Linked DNA regions of Macaca fascicularis. The main gene of each other region encodes a partner of the protein of the gene in region 3 in a complex. Links are inferred from orthologs where the notes say so. Each region holds a gene or a part of one and is shown on either strand. Other genes may lie near its edges. The genes, in order: GAST, GNAI2, CCKBR and GNAQ.

Region 1 (4,980 bases), on a different chromosome or scaffold from region 3:
CCTGCTTCCTTCATCACCCATTAATTCTCAACAAGGCTGGCTGTGAGCGTGGGTACCACAGCCGTTACCCAAGACCCAAGGGGAATCAAACTCTCCCAGAAAAGGAGGGGGCCTGATGACGCATGAACAGAAGCAAAATCTTTGCTCTCAACGGTGGAAAAATCAAAAACAGCCTACAACTCATTACATCCGGTCAAACCATGTGGAGGCAGCAGTTTATCGAATAAGTCAACAAAGTGCCGTTTTGTTTTCTGGTCCATCTTCGGCAAATGCTTTAGTCTGTTTGCTAACCATTTGAAGGTATACTTTGACACTGAAAAGTTGTTGGCTGGGCATGGTGGCTCACACCTGTAATCCCAGAACTTTGGGAGACCGAGCCGGGCCGATCACGAGGTCAGGAGTTCGAGACCAGGCCGCCCAACATGGTGAAACCCCATCTCTACCAAAAATACAAAAAATTGGCCGGGCGCGGTGGCTCAAGCCTGTAATCCCAGCACTTTGGGAGGCCGAGACGGGTGGATCACGAGGTCAGGAGATCGAGACCATCCTGGCTAACACAGTGAAACCCCATCTCTACTAAAAAATACAAAAAAACTAGCCGGGCGAGGTGGCGGGCGCCTGTAGTCCCAGCTACTCGGGAGGCTGAGGCAGGAGAATGGCCTGAACCCGGGAGGCGGAGCTTGCAGTGAGCTGAGATCCGGCCACTGCACTCCAGCAAGGGGGACAGAGTGAGACTCCATCTCAAAAAAAAAAATAATAATAATAATTAGCCAGGTGTGGGGGCGTGCACCTGTAATCCCAGCTACTTGGGACGTTGAGGCAGAAGAATTGCTTGAACCTGGAAGGTGGAGGTTGCAGTGAGCTGAGATCACACCACTGCACTCCAGCCTGGTGACAGAGCTAGACTTTGTCTCAAAAAAAAAAAAAAAAAAAGGTTGTTTTGCAGATTACTAGCTCCCCTGAAAGCAAAATGAAGGAGACTTGAGAGGCAGGACCCCCCAGGAATTGGCTCTGCATAGGGGGTTTGCAGGTGGTGGTGCATGGGCAGCTGACCTGGGAGATGTGGGGCAGCTACAAGCCAAACTCACACCAGCACAGAAGGCCTAAGGAGAAGAAGGCGCCGAGGGTGTTCCATGGTAGGGGGAGGGTGAAGGGGCTTCAGAGGTGACCAGGATGTGAGCCACCAGAAGGAGAGAACAGGGCCATCAGCCCACAATCCATTGCTCCTGGTAACACGTTGTATTTGCAGAGTCCAGTGGAGGGGACGGGGAATCAATACATCACCCCACATTCACACACTCATCAAACATCAGTGGATGGTGAAATCTACTTTCCCTGAATCTAAGCCCATCGGGTTCACTCCCTCACCTACCACCACCCACAAAAGTCCCTACGTAGTTTGAGAGATGAGTACCAGGCCTCTGACCCCCAGGATAGGTGGGGAGCATTGCTCCTGACCAAGGGAGCTTGGTTCCTGCCCCTTAGGTACAGCTGGAGAGCTGCCACCACCCCGCTCCAGCCCCTCACCATGAAGGTCAACTCCCCTATCCTTCCCCCACATCCTGGATGACTGACTGACACTAAATGACAGGGCGGGGCAGGACGATGGGCTGTACCTGTGCCCCACCCCATTCCTCTCGCCTGGACTCATATGGCAGGGTAGGGGTGGGGGGGCACAGTTGGGAGGGACCTCGAGGGCTTTATAAGGCAGGCCTGGAACACCAGGCAGAACAGAGACCTGAGAGGCACCAGGCCCAACCGCCACACCACACACCTCCCAGCTCTGCAGGTGAGAAAACCCAGGAGGAGAGGGGAGAGGCTGGGAAGTGGGTTGACAGGTCCTCTCCCCCATCAAGGTATCAGGCCACTGGCCAGAGTCTGGGGCTCACCCCTTGGAGTCCCCAGAGCTGGGACCCTTTCTTTATCCCAGGATGGAACTAGGTCTTGGCTCCAGTACCTACCGTTGTATTCCCAGCCTTGCCTTCCACCTGCCCTCTGTCCCAGCCGGGGCTCTGCCCTTAACCTCTCCCTTCACACTCCTCCCCTGGGAGGTGAGGAGGACTGGGGTTCTTCTCCTCTCTCTTAGGTGAGAAAACTGAGGCCCAGAGGCAAGATGTGACTTGCCCAAAGTCACAGGGATTTTTAGGCAGGGCTGGGATGGGAATCCACAGCTCCTGGATCCCACTTCAAGCCCTTTCCTAGACCACTGCCATCCAAAAGAACGTCCTATGATGCGGGAAATGTTCTTTATCTGCACTGTTCAATATGGTAGCCACTAGCCACGTGTGTGCTTGAAATGGGGTTGGTGTAAGGAAGTTTGTTGTTGTTGTTGTTGTTGTTTGTTTTTTATACAGAGTCTTGCTGTGTCACCCAATCTGGAGTGCAGTGGCGTGATCACAGCTCACTGCAACCTCCGCCTCCCAGGTTCAAGCAATTCTCCTGCCTCAGCCTCCTGAGTAGCTGGGATTACAGGCGCCTGCCATAACACCCGGCTAATTTTTTATATTTTTGGTAGAGACAGAGTTTCACCATGTTGGCCAAGCTGGTCACAAACTCCTGACCTCAAGTGATCCGACCCCCTCGGCCTCTGAAAGTGCTGGGATTACAGGCGTGAGCCACTGCACCTGGCTGTAATTTTTTAATTTAATTAATTTAAATGTAAAGAGCCACACGTGATTGGTGGCTACAACACTGAACAACCAACGTGTGGTTAGCATCTGACAGTACAGCTCCAGATCACTGAGTTTTCAAACGTTTCTTCAGCAGCAGAATTCTTTTCTTCCAAGGAAAACCTAACAGAGAACCTCATTATGAAAAACTTAATAGCCAGGCACCGTGGCTCATGCCTGTGATCACAACACTTTGGGAGGCTGAGGCAAGCAGATTACTTGAGCTCAGGAGTTCCAGACCAGCCTGGGCAACATAGTGAGACCTCATCTCTACTAAAAATAAAAACAAATAAATTAGCTGGGCATAGTAGTGCACACTTGTAGTCCCAGCTACTCAGGAGGCTGAGGTGGGAGGACCTCTTGAGCCCAAAAAGTCGAGGCTGCAGTGAGCCAGGATCACTCCAGCCACTGCATTCCAGCCTGGGAGACAGAGCAAGATTCTGTCTCACAAAAAGAAAAAAAGAAAAACTTAAAAGCAGTACTTTATTAATATAAATGTATTCTGACAAGAGAAAATTTTTATCATTTTCTTATGATAAAGCCAATCAGAATAATGAGACTAAAAGAATACAAAAATCGTGAGTCCGGGGAACAGATGACCATTTGAATTTTACGTTTGTTTGAGATTCCAGTTTAGTTCTGTATTATATCTTTTCCCCAAACTGGATTCACCCTGATACATAATTGCTAATGGTGACAGCTTAATTTTTTCTTAACTGCTTCATTATAATCACAGGATATTCCTCAGTTAAGCAAAAATGACTGGAGAACCTTTCCTCTCAGGGCCGCACAAAAAAGCAGTGTGAGCTGGCCAAGCGTTGAATGTGCTGCAGTCTCCAAAGTGATAACATGCGGTCTGTAACACAGTTGGATGTCTATGTTCCTTTGGTATTCCTATTTAAAAGTTTCACTTTTTGTTTTTGTTTTTTTGAGACAGGGTCTCACTCTGTCGCCCAGGCTGGAGTACAGTGGTGCAATCTCGGCTCACTGCAACCTCCACCTCCAGGGCTCAAGGGTTCCTCCCACCTCAGCCTCCCAAGTAGCTGGGAATACAGGTGCATGCCACCATGCCCGGCTAATTTTTGTATTTTTTGTAGAGATGGGATTCGGTATGTTGCCCAGGCTGGTCTCAAACTTGTGGGCTCAAGGGATCTGTCCTCCTCAGCCTCCCAAAGTGCTGGGATTACCATGCCTGGCCTAAAAAGTTCACTTTAAATAACAAGTCTTGGGCCAAGCACAGTGGCTCACATCTGTAATCGCGGCACTTTGGGAGGCTGAGGTGGGAGGATTGCTTGAGCCCAACAGTTCAAGACTAGCTTGGGCAACATGGTGAAACCCCATTTCTACAAAAAATACAAAAAAATTAGCTGGACGCGGTGGTGCAAGCCTGTAGTCCCAGCTCTTCTGGAGGCTGAGGTGAGAGGATCACCTGAGCCCAGGAGGTATAGTCTGCAGTGAGCAGTGATTGCACTACTGCACTGCAGCCTAGGTGACAGAGTGAGACCCTGTCTCAATAAATAAATAAATTACATGACTTAAACAACTACAGAGCCACTAACATGGCCTCAAATTCTGCAGAACAGAACCTAGGAAAACCATTGCCCTAGGATTTGACTTTCTCCAAGAGAAGCAGTGGCTGTAATAAGGGTAAGTAAAGAGAAAAAACACGAGACTTTGGGGCTGGCGTGGAACCGGCAGAAACTGGAGAATTTAACTGAAGAAATAGTCCACAACTCCACATGGAATTGCAGACTCACCTGGGCGCGGTGGTTCACGCCTGTAATCCCAGCATTTGGGAGGCTGAGGCAAGTGGATCACCTGAGGTCAGGAGTTTGAGACCAGCCTGGCCAACATGGTGAAACCCCGTCTCTACTAAAAATTACAAAAATTAGCCAGGCATGGTGGCACATGCCTGTAGTCCCAGATATTCTGGAGGCTGAGGCAGGAGAATCATTTGAACCTGGGAGGCAGAGGTTACAGTGAGCCGAGATCCCATCACTGCACTCCAGCCTGGGCAACAAGAGGGAAACTCTGTCTCAAAAAAAAAAAAAAAAAATTGCAGACTCATCAGCAGGTAGAGGCCTGGAGCCACATCGCTCAGTCCCCTGCCTCTGGGCCTATGTGGGGACAGCCTCACCCTTAAGCTAGTCCCTTCTCCCCTTTGCAGACGAGATGCAGCAACTGTGTGTGTATGTGCTGATCTTTGCACTGGCTCTGGCTGCCTTCTCTGAAGCTTCTTGGAAGCCCCGCTCCCAGCAGCCAGATGCACCCTTAGGTACAGCGGCCAACAGGAACCTGGAGCTACCCTGGC
Region 2 (5,221 bases), on a different chromosome or scaffold from region 3:
GGGATGTGGGATCATGGCCACCTCCAGACGTGGACAGGCCATGGAAGAGACAGGTCATAAGATTGTGGCCACTTTTGTTTCTAGAAGTCCAGTGGCAACTCCTTCCTCTTTTTTCCCTCCCAACCCCCTCACCCTGCCTGCTCGCCCTCCCCTCTTCCTCCGTCTCCACCCTCTCACCCTCTCTCCCTTTCTCCCTTGGGTCCTGATTGCCTGGTCCCAGATTGGAGTCCAGGATGGCTGCCTGCAGAAGAATGCCTCCTGGTAGGTTGGGGAAGGATGGATATGAGAAGTCACCCAGCTAAAGGAGACAGCCTAGGCAAAGGTGTAAAGATGGAAATCAACTTTTTTTTTTTTCTTTTTATTTTTTATTTTTTTATTTTTTTATTTTATTTTTATTTATTTATTTATTTATTTTTTTTGAGACGGAGTCTCGCTCTGCCGCCCAGGCTGGAGTGTAGTGGCCGGATCTCAGCTCACTGCAAGCTCCGCCTCCCGGGTTCACGCCATTCTCCTGCCTCAGCCTCCTGAGTAGCTGGGACTACAGGCGCCCGCCACCTCGCCCGGCTAGTTTTCTGTATTTTTTTTTAGTAGAGACGGGGTTTCACCGTGTCGGCCAGGGTGGTCTCGATCTCCTGACCTCGTGATCCGCCCGTCTCGGCCTCCCAAAGTGCTGGGATTACAGGCTTGAGCCACCGCGCCCGGCCCTTTTTTTTTTTTTTTTTTTTTTTTTGAGACGGAGTCTTGCTCTGTCGCCCAGGCTGGAGTGCAGTGGCCGGATCTCAGCTCACTGCAAGCTCTGCCTCCCGGGTTCACGCCATTCTCCTGCCTCAGCCTCCCGAGTAGCTGGGACTACAGGCGCCCGCCACCTCGCCCGGCTAGTTTTTTGTATTTTTAGTGGAGACGGGGTTTCATCATGTTAGCCAGGATGGTCTCGATCTCCTGACCTCGTGATCCGCCCGTCTCGGCCTCCCAAAGTGCTGGGATTACAGGCTTGAGCCACCGCGCCCGGCTTTTTTTCTTTTTAGATGGAGTTTTGCTCTGTCGCCCAAGCTGGTGTGCAATGAATGGCGTGATCTCGGCTCACTGCAACCTCTGCCTCCCGGGTTGAAGCAGTTCTCTTGCCTCAGCCTCCTGAGTAGCTGGGATTACAGGCGCCCACCACCACGCCCAGCTAATTTTTGTATTTTTAGTAGAGACGGGGTTTCACCATGTTGGCCAGGCTGGTCTCGAACTCCTGATCTCAAGTAATCCGCCCGCCTCGGCCTCCAAAAGTGCTGGGATTACTGGCGTGAGTCCCTGGGCCCGGCCTTTGTTTTTTCTTTTTCGATTTGCTGCAACCCAAAGGGAGAAGGCGGTTTACCGCCTTAAGACAAAGAAAACCGCAGTCCAGAAAGGCTCCCGAGTTCTGTAGATTCCAAAACAAGTTTATTGGACTCATTAACTTTAACAAATGACAAAGACACGCCTCCTCCACCTAACTCGCCCAACTCGCAGAAGCTCAGAGCGCTGGTTCCTGCTCTGTCCTCGAGGGCACCGGATCCCCACCCTCGGGCTAACAGATCCGCCCTCCCGGCTGTCCAGCAACTGAGCTCCCGGCGCTCCGCACCCAATCACAGCCCGGCCCCGCCTGCAACCCGCCCAGTGCCGGGTCCCTGGGTTTGGATCCACCCCTATTGCCTTTGCTCCGCGTGGCCACGCCTGCAGCCGAGGCCCGAGCCTGGGCTGCGCCTCATTCCCCCTTCGCCCCGCCCTCAAGCCAATCACCAGCCTCGAATCTCCTCTGGCCCCGCCTCCAGACCCGCCCCGGCCCAGTCCCGGGCTTAGTTAGCCCAGGCCCCACCCCCGGCCCGCCCCGCCGTCGGTGCGCGGCGGTCGGGAAGGCGCCTCCTGCAGACGCTCTGAACTGCCGACCCGAGAGCTTCCCGCAGAGGGCTGGTAGTGGGAGCGGAGCGGGTCGGGCGGGGCCGGGCGGGGCCGAGCCGGGCCGTGGGCCGTGTGGGGGCCGGGCGGCGGCCGGGCCGGCGGACGGCGGGATGGGCTGCACAGTGAGCGCCGAGGACAAGGCGGCGGCCGAGCGCTCTAAGATGATCGACAAGAACCTGCGGGAGGACGGAGAGAAGGCGGCGCGGGAGGTGAAGTTGCTGCTGTTGGGTGAGGCCGCGTCCCGCACTGGGATCCTTAATTCCCAGCTCGAATCCCCAGACAAGGACTTTGACCTCTCATACTAGGGCTTCGAACTCCCAGACTCGGGCTGTCTGGGACCCCACACCTGGGCCAGGACCAGGGTTGAAAACTCTAGGTTGGGCTAGACCTTCGATCCTGCCCAGACTCTAGACCAGATCCCTATCTCATCCCAGACCTCCAAATCCAGCCAACAGTGCCCCAACACCCGCGGTCCAGTGCCCTGCTTGGCCATCCCCCCTTACTAACCAGCTTCACAGAACTTCAGAGACCCCGCCATCCTTCCTTACACTTTACCCAAACCCCCAGGATGCCCGCCACTTGTTCCCCAACCCTCAGGCTCCACTTGTTTTCCTCATCTGCGCCTTTTATTCCTGTTGGGCATGAGCATCCCGCGGAGCCCCTGCCAGGCCCCCTACCCACTCCCTCCTTCTCCCTCTGTGCCCCATCCCTAGTCTGGAATCTGTGTCTTCCACCTGTGCGTTCTGACCCAAGGAACCTCTCGAATGGGAAACTGCTCTTGAGCCCGCTCTCCAACTGGAACCCCTTCAGCGAGCCCTGCTCCCTGCTTCCTGCCCTCCAGATCCGTCTCTGCAAGCATCACTCCCGAAACCTTCTGCTGATCCTCCACTAAGTCCTCTTACACTCTGGCCTTCCCCAATCCTTCCACCTCTCCTGCACCAAGTGGGCTGGGCTAGGATGAGGGAGCCCCGGATTGGAGAGGGCCTAGGCTGCCTTACGAAGAACCCCCACGGGGCTGGACTGAGGCTCCACTGGTCAAGCTGTGGGAGGGGGCCAGGCCTCAGGCTTCCCAGGGAGGCTCTGCGGGCTCTATGTTTTCCAGTTTCGAAGGCCAGTCTGGGAAGTAGGAGAGAGTGTGGAGGAGTTAGGGTTGTGGTCGCCTCCAAGGCCAGGAAAGATGGTGGCTGCTAGAGGGGTGGGGGGAAGTGGAAGTGGTGAGATAGCCGACATATTGCTGCCCCTGCGGGTGAGCCCAAGAGATCTGCTAGTAGGTGCTGGGCTGCCCACACCCCTTCTGGGCTGCAAGGCCTGGGATGTAGCCACTGAGAGTTCGGGGGCTTGTTGGATCTTGGGACCCTGTGAAGGGGGATGGTGGACTAGCTGAATGAGGAGTTGAGGGGCCAGCTAGGGGTGGGCCAGGGTGCTTCTGAGCATCCCAGCTGGCCTTTTGCAAAGACAGTGGGCCTACTGGCTGTCCCCATCCAACCTCCCACTGGAAGTAGGGGTGGTGCCCAGTGGCAGTCTGATTTTGATTTGGGGGTTTTAGAGTCGGGGGAGGGAGGCCCTTGCAACAGCACAGCACCGTTGTAGGCTGAGTACTGCCTGGGGGGGTGTGGCCCCTCAGCTTCAGAACTGTCATGGGGCTCCCAGGCTGTGAAAAGCAAGGCTTTTCGTGCTGGGCCTGTGGCCGAGGAACAGCATGTATGTTCATTATGGGCCCATCTGTTGACTGTCCCTGCGGACCTAGCCTCCGGGGCACAGCCTCGGAGGTTTCAAAATGGCATCCGCTTCGCTGCTGCCTCAGGGAGGAAGAGAAGGGGCGGGAAGGGGCGGCGGCCCAGCCTCCTGGGCTGCTTTGCGTTGGGCGCTTGCCTCTTCCTGTCTCTGCTGTGAGTGCGGCAGCGGCAGTGAGTGGGTGTCGACGCGGCGGAATGCCCATCGCTGCTACTGCTGCTGCTGCCCGATGGGCCTGGGGAGGGCACTTCCGGTACCGCTGCCTCCCAGTGCCCAGCCAGGAGTCTCTAGCCAGCCTCTCCCTAGGCTGATTGCAGCTACTGTGGTGACTGAGGAAATGCAAGACTGGACCATAGAGCTGGGGGAACGTAGGGCTTCTGGCTAGTTTTGTGTCCCGACACTAGAAGGGTCCCCGATCCCACCAGACTTGCTCCTTGGAGCCCAGCTCAGCTTTTGGGCTAAGTCAAGTGAGACCCGGCAACTCCTCCCACACTGGGCTGGCAGCAGCCAGGGAGGCAGGGTCTGGCTTAGCACTTTCTAGCCTGGGGAGTTCACCCTGGGGTCCTGGCCTTCTGGCCTTTGCTTACTCTGTGAAATGGGCTTCCTGGGTTTGGGCCAAAGGAGTATCCCAGCTCAGGGTGGGGAGAACAAGAGCCTCCTGGTGGTTCTTGTTGGGGATGTGGGTTGGGAGTTAAGACCCTGCAGTGTGCTGCAAAGGGCTCTGACTAAGCTCTGCCCGATATTGACGACCCAATCTGCCATGGCTGCCTGGGGAGGGATCCTGGCTTGAGCCATGCCTTTCCCATTCAGGTGCAAGGTGGTGATGGGAGCCCAGCTGTGGCAAGTTCAGAGTTCTGGGCGCCTGTCCCATGTAGCGGGAGACTTTGTCCAGGCAACGGGACTCAGGTTGGGCAACTGCCAGCCTTCCCTCCCAGCCAGAACCACGCCTGCTGCCCCGCCTGCACATCGCCTCCCTCCATCCTGGGTAGCTCTGCCAGCAGGCGGGCACAGTTCTTGTCACCAGGGTAGAGGCTGATGTGGTACACACAGGCAAGAGAGTATTTCCTGGCAGCTTGGTAGGGGGAGCAGATACCAGTCCTGCGCTAGGGATGCTCACCACTCCTACCCAGCTCAATGTGATTGACCAGCTAGGCCCAGGTGGAATCTGGGCACTTAAGGGAAAGGAAGCCAGAGTGTGTGTGAGCGGGGAGAGTCTCTGATTTGGGATGGGCTTGTGTGGACGGCTTCACAGAAAAAGGAGACAGTGTCCACCACTGGCTCCATAAAGGCTTCAGAATGTAAACAGAGCAGTTCTTTCTTGCCCCTGGAACTTTGCGGAACTGTTGTTCCCTACTTGATTGTTCTTTAAAACTTTACTCCCAGATCACCTCCCAGGATCCTTCCTGGACATCCTCCTTCAACCAAGGTGAAACATCTGGCTCCCAGCGCTGTTGTTTCCCCTCTCAGATGCCTGGAGACTGTAGGGCAGGGCTAAGTCCTCTTCATTTCTGTGCCCAGCATGGAGCCTGGCATCTACTGGGTGCTTCTCATCTGTTTGTTGAAT
Region 3 (5,092 bases):
TGGGGATGTGAGCATCTTTCAGAGTTGTCCACCACTGGGTTGAGGGGACTAAACTTTTATACCTCTGCACTGATTGGTCATTGGATATAGAATGCCCAAGAAAGGGAGCATAACCTTGGATGAGCTGGCTTTCTTCTGCTTAGGCAACTCCTGAAGGGTTCTGACAGCTGAGGGCCATCTTTTAGCAGCACTCTCCGCAACTGGAAAATAAATCCTTCATTTTTGAAGAGAGTTCTGGGCTTTGCATCACAGCATCCAGCACAGGGGTGAAGGATCATAGGGGAGTAAGGCATCAATAATAATTCCTAAATTTCTGATATGTACATCCCGATGGGTGCACTTAACGACCGTATATTACAATCATTGGCTTACTTGGGAAAATCCCCACTAGAGTAGGTGCTACTCAGGGGCAAACTATATTGGACAACTAATGCACACCCCTAGAACTGGCATAGTTTGCTAATTAAGTGAATGTTCATCTACTTCTATTTTCACTCCCCTCTCCCTTATGTCCTTTGCTCCCTTCCCTCCTCATCGTACTGCCATCCAATGTGGGAAAACTTGAGCAGGTTATCTGAGGCCTCACCTGCGCTGGAGTTGAACAAATAGGAAATCAAGCTCGTCTGGTCCAGGCTCTCTGATGGGCAAGACAGGCAGTGCCAGGAGGAAGGGAAGGAGGGGCAGTTGACGACATCTCAGGCATAAACTGTCTTTCAACTCTCTTTCAATGCTTCAGCCCCTATAAACTCAGAGCTGGCTGAACCAGGTCCTCTCCAAAAGATTGATTGGATAAAGGCCTGCTGAATCCCCCATAAAGCCAGACTCCATTCTCTAATTTGCTCTTCCACTGATGCCCGCCCCCCACCTCTTACAGCTACTGCTGGGGGTCAAAAGACAGAATTTCACATCGTATTGGAGTTCATCTGGAATCTGAAGAATGGATAGGAATCTGGAGATAGGAATCTGGGGAAGAAAAGGAATGGATAGGAGAATGCATAAGGAGCAGGGCTGAAATAGTAGAAGAGGCAAATCCTGCCCTGAGAAGATGAACCCAGTTCAGTCCTGCACCCTTCAGCCCTGTTCCCGCTGCACCCCAGTGACCCAGTCCCCTTCCAGCCCCCACTCGTGGGAACCTGACACCCTACACAGGCAGCTCTGCCTGCACTGAGAGTAAACAGGGAGCCGTTAGCGTGTCGGGTGGGCGTGGGCGCTGCCTGGAGACGGTGGAGAAAGCCAACCGTCTCCTCCTCTTTTGTCTGCGCTGGGCCGGCGTTAGAATTATATCCCATCTTCACGTTACTCGGGTTTATCCTTGTCAGCTCTTGCCACCACCCCCAACTGCCCTCAACACCCAAGTCAGAAGCTGCCTCCCGGGAGCCCTTTCCCCTGGCAAGCCTCCCCTGGAGCCAAATCCTGGCCCCACCCCCACTCCCGCCCAGCTGTGGAGGGCTCCTTGGGAACCTTAAGTGGAAGCCTGAGTGTTGAGCCTCCGATAGGAGGTGAAGGTTGCGGAGACAGATGCAGGAGCTACCCTAGTCCCGCAGCGAGGAGCTGCAGGGAACTACGGTAGCAATAGTGTCACGGTCACTGCGGTCACTGCAACACAGTACCATAAATGCGGCTCTAGGTGCAGACTAAAGCATCCGCGCCTCAGCAGGTGACGCACGCAGACCCGGTCTCCAACGCCACCTCCACGTTCCCTGATACACCAGAGAAAGATGTTGGATCCGTGGCAGCCGTCTCTACCCAACGCCTCCTACCCTCCCTTCCCCAAAACCTCCCGCTACGCTGCCAATACTCTTGTCTTCTCTCTCTCTCTCTCTCTCTCTCTCTCTCTCTCTCTCTCTCTCTTTCTTTCTCTCTCTCTCTCTCTCTCTCTCTCTGTCATTCCGGGGAATCGAGGGTGGGGGCGGGTGATAAAGAGAGGTGGGCAGGAGAGAAATCTCTAAGAGGAGACAGGACAGATCTAGGGAGGGGGCGAGCCTGGAGGACAGTCGCACAGGGAGGGGCAGAACTCCCGAGCCCGGGAGGGGGTGCACAGTCACCTGGTGGGACAGAGGCTGGCGGAGGGACGGGAACCGAGGCGGGGTGAGCCGCGGGAGAGTGGAAGGGCAGGCGCCTGGGCTGGGGGCGGAGACCAGGGGGGGCAGGGAGGCGGGGAAGGAGGGCGGTGGGAGCCTGAGCCCATCGCAGCGTGAGCAGGTGGAGCCGCGGTGGGAGCCCGCCAGGCCGAGCAGAGTAAGGCGGCGGGCTCCGCCGGGGCCATGGAGCTGCTAAAGCTGAATCGGAGCGTGCAGGGAACCGGACCCGGGCCGGGGGCTTCCCTGTGCCGCCCGGCGGCGCCTCTCCTCAACAGCAGCAGTGTGGGCAACCTCAGCTGCGAGCCCCCTCGCATTCGCGGAGCCGGGACACGAGGTGGGTGCCCCCCTCATCCCCCTCCACAAGCTCTTTCTCACTGTACCCCAGAACACTAATAGAGTCCCCCCACGAGCTCCACACTATCTCCTCAAACGCCCACACCGTGCCCCTCAGCCCCCAAACAGCTCCTCTCACACCTTCACCCCCACAGCTCACAGGTTCATAGCTTCACACCACCTGGTCGGAACTCCTTCACATCCTGGTCCCCTGATTACACCCAGAGCCGCTGCTTGCCCCAAAGCACAGCCCCTTCCCCAACACGCAGCCCCTCCTAGACACCAGTTAGAAGGCGAGGAGCTCCTCTTGCCAACCCTGCAGATCTCCTTTTCCCTCTTACATCCAGTTCACAAAGCCACAACAGAGAAGGGAAGGAAGAAAGGAAGGCAGGATTGGGAAAAGAAGGGGGCTGGTTGAGGGAGGGAGCACTCTGGAAAGCTTGAATGGGAAACCGAAGATGTGATCACATCTGACACCTCAGCCCCCAGGCATCCCAAAAAAAGATCCTCAAATCTGATTTAGGCTGGACACTAGGAGATGCCCCTTAAAACTGCCTGTCTCCATTTCACTCCTCAAACCCCTCTGCCTCCCTAGTTGGAGCTTTCAAGGCTCTGTGCCCTCTCTCTTTGTCTGCAAGTAATGTCTCCAGCTATCTTCCAAGCTCCCTCTTCAGCCCTAGACTAGGTGCTGGGGGTACAAGGCAAACTAGACCCAGTCTGGTCCCTCATGACCCATAGCCAAGTGCAGAGAGAAAAAAGCAAATGGAAAAATCACAGACACAGTGGAAATCCCATGAAAAGGTTTAAACTGTGGGCACCAAAAGAACTTCACAGAGGCTAGAATCTTGGAGCTGGGTCTTGAAGTTGAGTGGGCAGAAAAGGAAGGATGGGATTCTAGTGAAGGAAATAAATTTTTCTAAACTTGAGAAGGGAAAGTTGGAATAAATTGTAATCCAAGTATTTACCCCATGAAATAATCTATGCTTTCTCAGCCCATTTGTTACACACTCACACTTGGATTTGTCATTCAGCCAATATTTATTGAACCAGAGATTGTGCTAGGCAGTGGGAATGTAAGTTGAACAAAACTGACACAATTCCTACTTCACAGAGCTCAAAGCTTAATGGGTGAGACAGACAAGCAGGGGATAGAAGCACAAAGTGGAAGAGCCTTGATAGGGAAAAGATAGTGGGAACACAAGTGGAGCACCTCTAGCCCAGCCTAGCCTCCGTGAGAATTAAGGTTGGCCTCTTAAGGAAATGAGATACAGAGTGAAAAAAATTAGGGAGATTGGCTCTAAGCTTCCTGTTGGAAAAAAAAGAAAAGTGTGTGTGTGTGTGTGTGTGTGTGTGTGTGTGTGTGTGTGTGTGTGTATGTGTGTGTGTGTATATATATATATATATATATATATATATATATGAGAGTCAGTCAAGTAAACAGGCAGAAGAGGCAGAAAGCATCCCAAATAAAAGATGTATAAAAAGCTCCAAGTTTGAATTCATGGCACTTTTATCCACTGTGACATAGTTTTGAGTGGCTACAACATATATCTTAAGAAGGGAATAATGAACAGGCTGGAGACCAGCCTAGAGAGTTTGCAGAGAGCCTATTAGACCTGACCATGGAATGTGGACTTTATCCTGAGGGCAATAGGAACTACTAAAAGATTCAGTAGCACTACCAGGATTAGTTCTATAATGTGGAGAATGGATTGGAAGACATGAGATGGAAGGCAGGGGGGTACTTTAGAAGGTTACTATATTACACTGGTTTAAGTGAAAGATGATGCCAGCTGAGACTACGGTAATGGCAAGGGGGACAGAGAGAGGTGTATAGATTTGAGAGCCTTTTCTGGAAATGGAATCAACAGATTAGAAGCAGAGAGGATGGAAGAGGTCAAGGGATGACATTCAGATTTCTAACTTGGACAATTGAATGGATATTGGTGCTATAGCAATTGTATACAATGAGCAAGATAACAAAACAGCAGAAATAGGTTTGGAAGAAGGAATTATGAATTCAGTTTGGAACCCATTGAGTCTAAATGTTAGTGGGATCATCCAGGTGAGGTTACCTAGTAAGCTATTGAATCCAGGGGTCTGGAACTTACAGGAGAGGTCTGAGGTGGAAATACAGACTTGAAGGTATTTGCCTACAGGAGGTAGAAGCCATGAGAATAGTTAAAATCATAATATTTTGTATAGAACGAGAAGAAAATAAGTCCTGGGTCAAGACTCTGCATAAGACCATTATTTAAAACCCAGGCAGAGAAAGGAGAATTTATGAAGGAGATTCAGATGAAACCGTCAGAAAGGCAGGAGCTATGCCCTTCCAGAAAGCAAGAAAAAGAGAGTTTCAAGCAGGTTGGGGTAAGCGATGTCAAATGCTATTGATGTAAGTTAGATAAATAAAAAACAGGACAGTCAGAACAGCATCTTTCAGATTCAGTAACAAGAAAATATTTAGGAGTTGTAGGTATTGAGGCTTGACTATAGTAAGTTGAAGATTGGGCTGGTGGGAGAGGGAGTTATGAGAAGTGAACCAGGGTATATAGCCAAAACTTTCAAATGTTTGGTAGAGAGAGAGAAAGAGAGAGAGAGAGAGAGAGAAAACCAGGATATTGCCAAAAATAGCATGAGATTGAGGCAGCTGGGTTGGGGTAGGGGGGCGGGTATAT
Region 4 (5,081 bases), on a different chromosome or scaffold from region 3:
TTAGTCACTTGATTTTAAATTTTAATTTCATTGCAAGTCTAGCTGTTCTTTGTAGGCATTCACATACAAGGGTTGAGGTTTGCCCTCTCTGCTCTCCAGGCCAAGGTGAAATTTAATTATTTTCTAGGTTTTAAAGAGAGAACCTAAAATGTACATTTTGTATCTTGACTTGCTTGATTTAAATTCTGGTTTAGAGTGTATGTGTGTGAAAGGGTGGAGTAATGGCAAATGAAAGAAAGAAGGAAGTTACACACCTGTTGTCTAAGAACCCTATATGAATTCTTGATCTGTAGCAAAAGCAAAGTCATGACCATACCTTACACTCTGAATCAGCAGGTTGCACCAGGGACACTTCAGAGAACACATGAAACGTGAAAAAGCGGTTCTCGTCATAAAAGACAATTTTCTTTGAAGATCTCAGGTTCCTTTAAGGCAGGAAGCAGTATGAGTTTCACCTCCTGGACCTGATTGAACGAGATTATTTTCGTGTGCTATTTATCAGCAGACGATCACAATGAAATATGCACACGACACTTAACTGCCTCAATCAAATATTGCAAACCAAAAAAACTAGAATGCCACTTTGCTGGGGCCACCTTAGTTTCTCTTCTATTTCATTGTTTCCTTTCCGTTTATTTCATATTATTTAACATTTTCCCATAAGTCATCCATAATTCAATCTCAGTCTAGAAGGGTAAATTCGATTACTCGGCGGTTAAACATTGTGTGCCTTGTCAGAAACAAGAGAACTTGTGAAACAAAAACAAAAACAACTTAAAAAAAAAACAGAAACAACCAACCACCACCAAAAAAACAAAGGCATGAAAAGTTGGAACCTATCGGGAGGCTGCTGGAAACTTGGGCAGCTTCCTTTCTCTGCTCAGGATTTAGATTTCTATCTCGTTACTTTGCGGACAGCTTCGCCTGTGAATCTCCCCCTGTGCCTCCGGGCACCGGTGCCAATTCCTTCCCTTCCCCAGTTGCCCCCCACAGTATAGAGGATCTTATTTTCTAAGACTGCACCGGGGTCAGAGGTGACACGAGAGTTTCTAACCGAATGGCGTTTTAGAAATAGGAACGGGAAACACAGAAGCGGCTGAGGAGCGTCCCCGCGGAGCACACAGGCACAGCGCGGGAGCCGCGGACGCCAGCGCCGGCGCCGCAGGGAGCGCGTGCGGGGCTCCGCGGGGCCGCCTCCCGCGACTTCAGCAGGGGCCGCGGCCGCGCTCCCGGGCCGGTGGGCTGAGGCAGGCAGAGACCGCCATTTTCCCGCCTCACCACGCCCGGCCGGACGGCAACCGCAGGTCGGCGGCGGTCCTAGCACGCAACGGCGACCGCCGGCTCGGGCTGCACGTCGGCGGCCGGGGGCGGCCGTGACCGCGGCGCCAGCGGGCTCTGCCGAGGGTACGGGAGCAGTGGGCGTCCGCAGAGCCCGAGAGAGCCGGCCCAGCCCGGGAGCCGCGCGGGCGAGGCGAGAGCCGCACTGGGAGGCGCGCCGCGGCGGCCGCGAGCCCAGGAAAGCCTTCCAGGAGGGGCCGGGCGGCACCGCCTCCCGGCTCCCCTCCTCCCGCGCCCGTCCCCTCCGCCTCCTCCCCTCCTCCTTTCGCCGCCGCCTCCTCCCTCCCGGATCTGTGCTCCAGTTCAGAGAAAGAAGAAAATGTGTGTGTGTGGCGAGGGGGAGGGCGCGCACTGAGCAGCCGCTCCGCGCCTGGCAATCGGGGCAGGGGGTGGGCGTCTGGCGGGGGCGGAGGCGGAGGCGGAGGCGGAGGAGCGCGCGGTTGCCGGGCGGGCCGGGAACCGGGTCTGCGCGCGAGCCGGGCGGTGGGCGCGGACAGGGCCGAAGGCGCCCGGGAGCCGTGTCAGGCGGCGGCGAGGAGCGGGCGCGCCGGGCGCGGGGAGCCGTCGGCGGCCGCTCGCTGCGGGGACACCCCGGTGGATGAGCTCTCGCCGCCAGGCGCACGGCGTAGGGGAGCCTCGCAGGCGGCGGCGGCGGCGGCGGCTCGGGGGGCGAGGCGGGCCGCCCGTTCCTGGGGAAGGAGGCGCGGGCGTCTGAGCGAGGCCGGGCGCGGCGGCCTTCTCTCACGCGCCCCCCGAGCCAGCGCCCGCCTCCCGCGCCCGCCTCGCTTCTCCCGTCGGCCCAGGCCATCCGCTCCCACCGCGCCCCCGGCCCACCTGGTGGCTCCGGCTCCGGCCGCTGCCCCCGCGGCGGTTCCCGGAGCTCGTCCCGGCCGCGCGCCCGGGCGGCGGGGGCTCGGCGGCTACCGCTGCCTCGGGGGAGCGAGGGCGGGAGGGTGTGTGTGCGCGCTGTGAGCAGGGGGTGCCGGCGGGGCTACAGCGGAGGCACTTTGGAAGAATGACTCTGGAGTCCATCATGGCGTGCTGCCTGAGCGAGGAGGCCAAGGAAGCCCGGCGGATCAACGACGAGATCGAGCGGCAGCTCCGCAGGGACAAGCGGGACGCCCGCCGGGAGCTCAAGCTGCTGCTGCTCGGTGAGTACCGCCCGGGGCCCCGCCGGGCCTCTGCGCCCCCAGCCCACCATCCTTGGCCCTGCGGGACAGCTGCCCTCTCGGCGTCCCCCGCCCCCCGGCGCCCCCGGCTAGCCCCTACCCTCCCGGGCGCGCCCCCGGCCACTGCCTTCACCCGCGCGGGCGCGCGGGCGCGTTACACACACACACACACACCCAGATACACACACGCAGGCGCGTTACACACACACACACACACACACACACACCCAGATACACACACGCAGCAGAGGGGTCGCGGCTGCCCTGGCGGGTGTCTCGGCTTTTTTCTTTTTGGGTCCCTGAGGGCTGTGCCTTATCTGCTGTGCATCTGCTAAATGGCAGATCACTCCGGCCAGAGGCGCGGGGGTGGAAAGGTGGGCAGAGGGGTTGAACTTCCAGTGTCGTGGCCGCGGCATCCCATGGGGTGGTGGCGCGGGGAGCCGTGTGTGTGGCCCAGCGGGTGGCGAGCGGAGCTGGGGCACGTTGGGAGATGGCCTGCGGTGGGGTGGCCGGTGTCCATCTATTATCAGTGCCCTCTGGGGTCAGGAGGGAATGGGGGAACGGTGGGCAGACTCGCAACTGGATTCCCGGAGCACTGATGATGAGGAAGCCAAGTGGTTGGCCCTCCAAGGAAAGGGCCTGTGTATTGGGGGCGGGGCGGGAGGGCGAGCCCAAATGTGTCACAGAAGTGCTGTTCTCTAGCCACCAGACCATCGAAAGGAGGGAGCCTAGAAGAGTTTCTTGGCTAGTGGATGGTGACAGGCGTGATTCTCGTCTGCACCATTGCTTCTAGATAAAGATGAGGGTAGGGGAGTGTTGTGCTGTGTGGTTGTTGACAGCGACCGGTATCTTTTGTTTAATGAGGCAACCCAGATGTAGGCCTGAATTCACAATAGTTACTGCCGAAAACCAGTGCAGTCTCTCAGTTACTCTCTTGGCAACAAATAGAAACCTTTTGTTTAAAACACATAGCATTTTAATATCTTTGGAATCTGGGCTAGAAGGAAAACGGGAAGCATACAGGAAAAATTTTCCTCTAGTCTTGAAAAAAAATTCTGCTTTAGCTCTAAGTTAGCAAGAAAATGCCATTTCTCAAATAGAAATTTATTGATGATTATCTCAGAGAGGATGTTCAGAATCAAGCGATCAGGATTCACATACAAGCCACAGTGACAGAACCCTGAGCTATTGTGGTGGGAAGAGCAAACAGCTTTGCAGTAACAGGCCTGAAAAATGTCTTGTGTTCTGGATATTTGCATGTATAATAAATGTGTTTCTCAAACATTTCTGTAAGAAAAGAATATTGTACTGTCAGTTGGTGTTTGAGAAGCATGCATTTTCTTTCTTATCTTGAGCATTCCATTTGCTGGCTCAAGGAACCAATTGCCTTTGGGAATGAACTGCTTATGTACTGGATCATTTACAAGCAGGAACAAAATATACTGATCACACACATAGTTACTAATGGTTAATTCACATGACATGCTTTATGTCTTCATTTTGAAACTCAGATAAATGGGCACATGTTTATAAAGAACTGAAGGCGAAACACTAGATGAAAGAGGTGGGCTTAGGGGAATGAAGCCAGGGAGGAGGCAAACTGCAGTTGGAAAGTAAAGATTTTTTTTTTTTTTTTTTAATTCTCATTTTGAGCTACTTCTAATGGCTGAAAACAGGCAGTTGAATGTTTTCTGAGTTCTCAAGATTGAGAAGAAAATAAAGAACAAAAGAAATATGTAGAGTGTTTAAGTGCATGATTAAGGGGAAAAGCACGTATTTTAGAGAGACTTGTTTTAAGAATTGTTTTGTTTCTTCTGTTGCCCTGTTGACAGTCTTTGTTTCTGTTTAACTGTGAACTGGGCAGTTGAGGTCTCTCCAGCCAACCCTGTTTGCCTGAAAAGTGACAGCTCTGAGTTTCCCAGCAGCTAAGAGTTGAAGCCCAGGGAACCGGTTTGTCAATGGGCCTAGGTTTGAATGTTTAAGGGAAATACACTTACATGGATGCTTAATTCCATACTGTGTGTTTAAATAACACTGTGCTTTTAAAAATGAACTTGGAGATAATTTTCTGAGAAAAAGTGTAAACCAGTTTTACTGCTAAAGTGGTGGTAGTGTGGAGAACTTTTTTTTCCTCTTATTCGCGGAACATCATGCAAGTATTGTTACTGCTTCATGTTCTTGGTATGTTGCCTTTGCAACATAAATACCACAATACACTATATAGTAATGTACGCTAAATGTGGATTTGTGCGTGCATGTGTGTGTATGAGTGTGATTTCAGGAGTTTTTGAATCCAGGATGGTTGATTTCAACAAGGAAGATATTAGGGAAGGATTTCATTTGAGGAATTCCTGATTTGCTGCTTTGATGAGTAGACTGAATGTTCTGGTTCCTTCTATCATTTAAACAAAACCTGTCCAGAGGAGATTATAGAATGTATCCATTCACAGTTTAAAGATCTACTAATATTTTTAACCAGTTTATGGAGGAATAACTGTATTTTGAAATGAAATTCAGTATAAAATTGTTTTCAAAGTAAATTTTAGTTCAAGACTTGATGCCATTTTAATGGAA

The links.
Region 1: the proteins of CCKBR (region 3) and GAST are in contact, whole or in part, in a cryo-EM structure (PDB 7XOW), measured with the Homo sapiens proteins. The link is inferred for Macaca fascicularis from reciprocal best matches to the Homo sapiens genes CCKBR and GAST. Residues at the interface, in NP_795344.1 of Homo sapiens: Cys107, Pro114, Asn115, Gly118, Thr119, Phe120, Met134, Gly135, Val138, Tyr189, Gln204, Cys205, His207, Leu222, Val349, Tyr350, Ala352, Asn353, Arg356, Pro361, Ala363, His364, Leu367, Ser368, Ile372, His376, Tyr380; in NP_000796.1 of Homo sapiens: Glu85, Ala86, Tyr87, Gly88, Trp89, Met90, Asp91, Phe92.
Region 2: the proteins of CCKBR (region 3) and GNAI2 are in contact, whole or in part, in a cryo-EM structure (PDB 7F8V), measured with the Homo sapiens proteins. The link is inferred for Macaca fascicularis from reciprocal best matches to the Homo sapiens genes CCKBR and GNAI2. Residues at the interface, in NP_795344.1 of Homo sapiens: Thr87, Thr89, Arg152, Ala155, Ile156, Pro159, Leu160, Ala162, Arg163, Val164, Thr167, Ser169, Ile241, Gly248, Leu249, Lys328, Val331, Leu335, His394, Arg396; in NP_002061.1 of Homo sapiens: Glu28, Ala31, Arg32, Glu33, Val34, Lys193, Leu195, Thr220, Phe337, Thr341, Asp342, Ile344, Ile345, Asn348, Leu349, Lys350, Asp351, Cys352, Gly353, Leu354, Phe355.
Region 4: the proteins of CCKBR (region 3) and GNAQ are in contact, whole or in part, in a cryo-EM structure (PDB 7F8W), measured with the Homo sapiens proteins. The link is inferred for Macaca fascicularis from reciprocal best matches to the Homo sapiens genes CCKBR and GNAQ. Residues at the interface, in NP_795344.1 of Homo sapiens: Thr87, Val88, Thr89, Asn90, Glu151, Arg152, Ala155, Ile156, Pro159, Leu160, Ala162, Arg163, Val164, Trp165, Gln166, Thr167, Ile241, Leu245, Gly248, Leu249, Val331, Leu335, His394, Arg396, Phe397; in NP_002063.2 of Homo sapiens: Arg30, Arg34, Asp35, Arg37, Arg38, Leu40, Ser198, Val199, Phe341, Lys345, Asp346, Ile348, Leu349, Gln350, Asn352, Leu353, Lys354, Glu355, Tyr356, Asn357, Leu358, Val359.

The regions. Positions count from the first base shown.
Region 1 is NC_088390.1:62,755,637-62,760,616, forward strand, and holds the start of GAST (gastrin), read left to right. Parts: upstream 1-1,728; 5' UTR 1,729-1,789; intron 1,790-4,247; 5' UTR 4,248-4,316; intron 4,317-4,836; 5' UTR 4,837-4,841; coding exon 4,842-4,980. UniProt on the Homo sapiens protein: Gastrin stimulates the stomach mucosa to produce and secrete hydrochloric acid and the pancreas to secrete its digestive enzymes. It also stimulates smooth muscle contraction and increases blood circulation and water secretion in the stomach and intestine.
Region 2 is NC_088376.1:113,265,730-113,270,950, forward strand, and holds the start of GNAI2 (guanine nucleotide-binding protein G(i) subunit alpha-2), read left to right. Parts: upstream 1-1,891; 5' UTR 1,892-2,033; coding exon 2,034-2,151; intron 2,152-5,221. UniProt on the Homo sapiens protein: Guanine nucleotide-binding proteins (G proteins) are involved as modulators or transducers in various transmembrane signaling systems.
Region 3 is NC_088388.1:59,822,758-59,827,849, reverse strand, and holds the start of CCKBR (gastrin/cholecystokinin type B receptor), read left to right. Parts: upstream 1-2,055; 5' UTR 2,056-2,264; coding exon 2,265-2,415; intron 2,416-5,092. UniProt on the Homo sapiens protein: Receptor for gastrin and cholecystokinin. The CCK-B receptors occur throughout the central nervous system where they modulate anxiety, analgesia, arousal, and neuroleptic activity.
Region 4 is NC_088389.1:108,683,172-108,688,252, reverse strand, and holds the start of GNAQ (guanine nucleotide-binding protein G(q) subunit alpha), read left to right. Parts: upstream 1-1,638; 5' UTR 1,639-2,353; coding exon 2,354-2,489; intron 2,490-2,663; exon of another isoform or gene 2,664-5,081.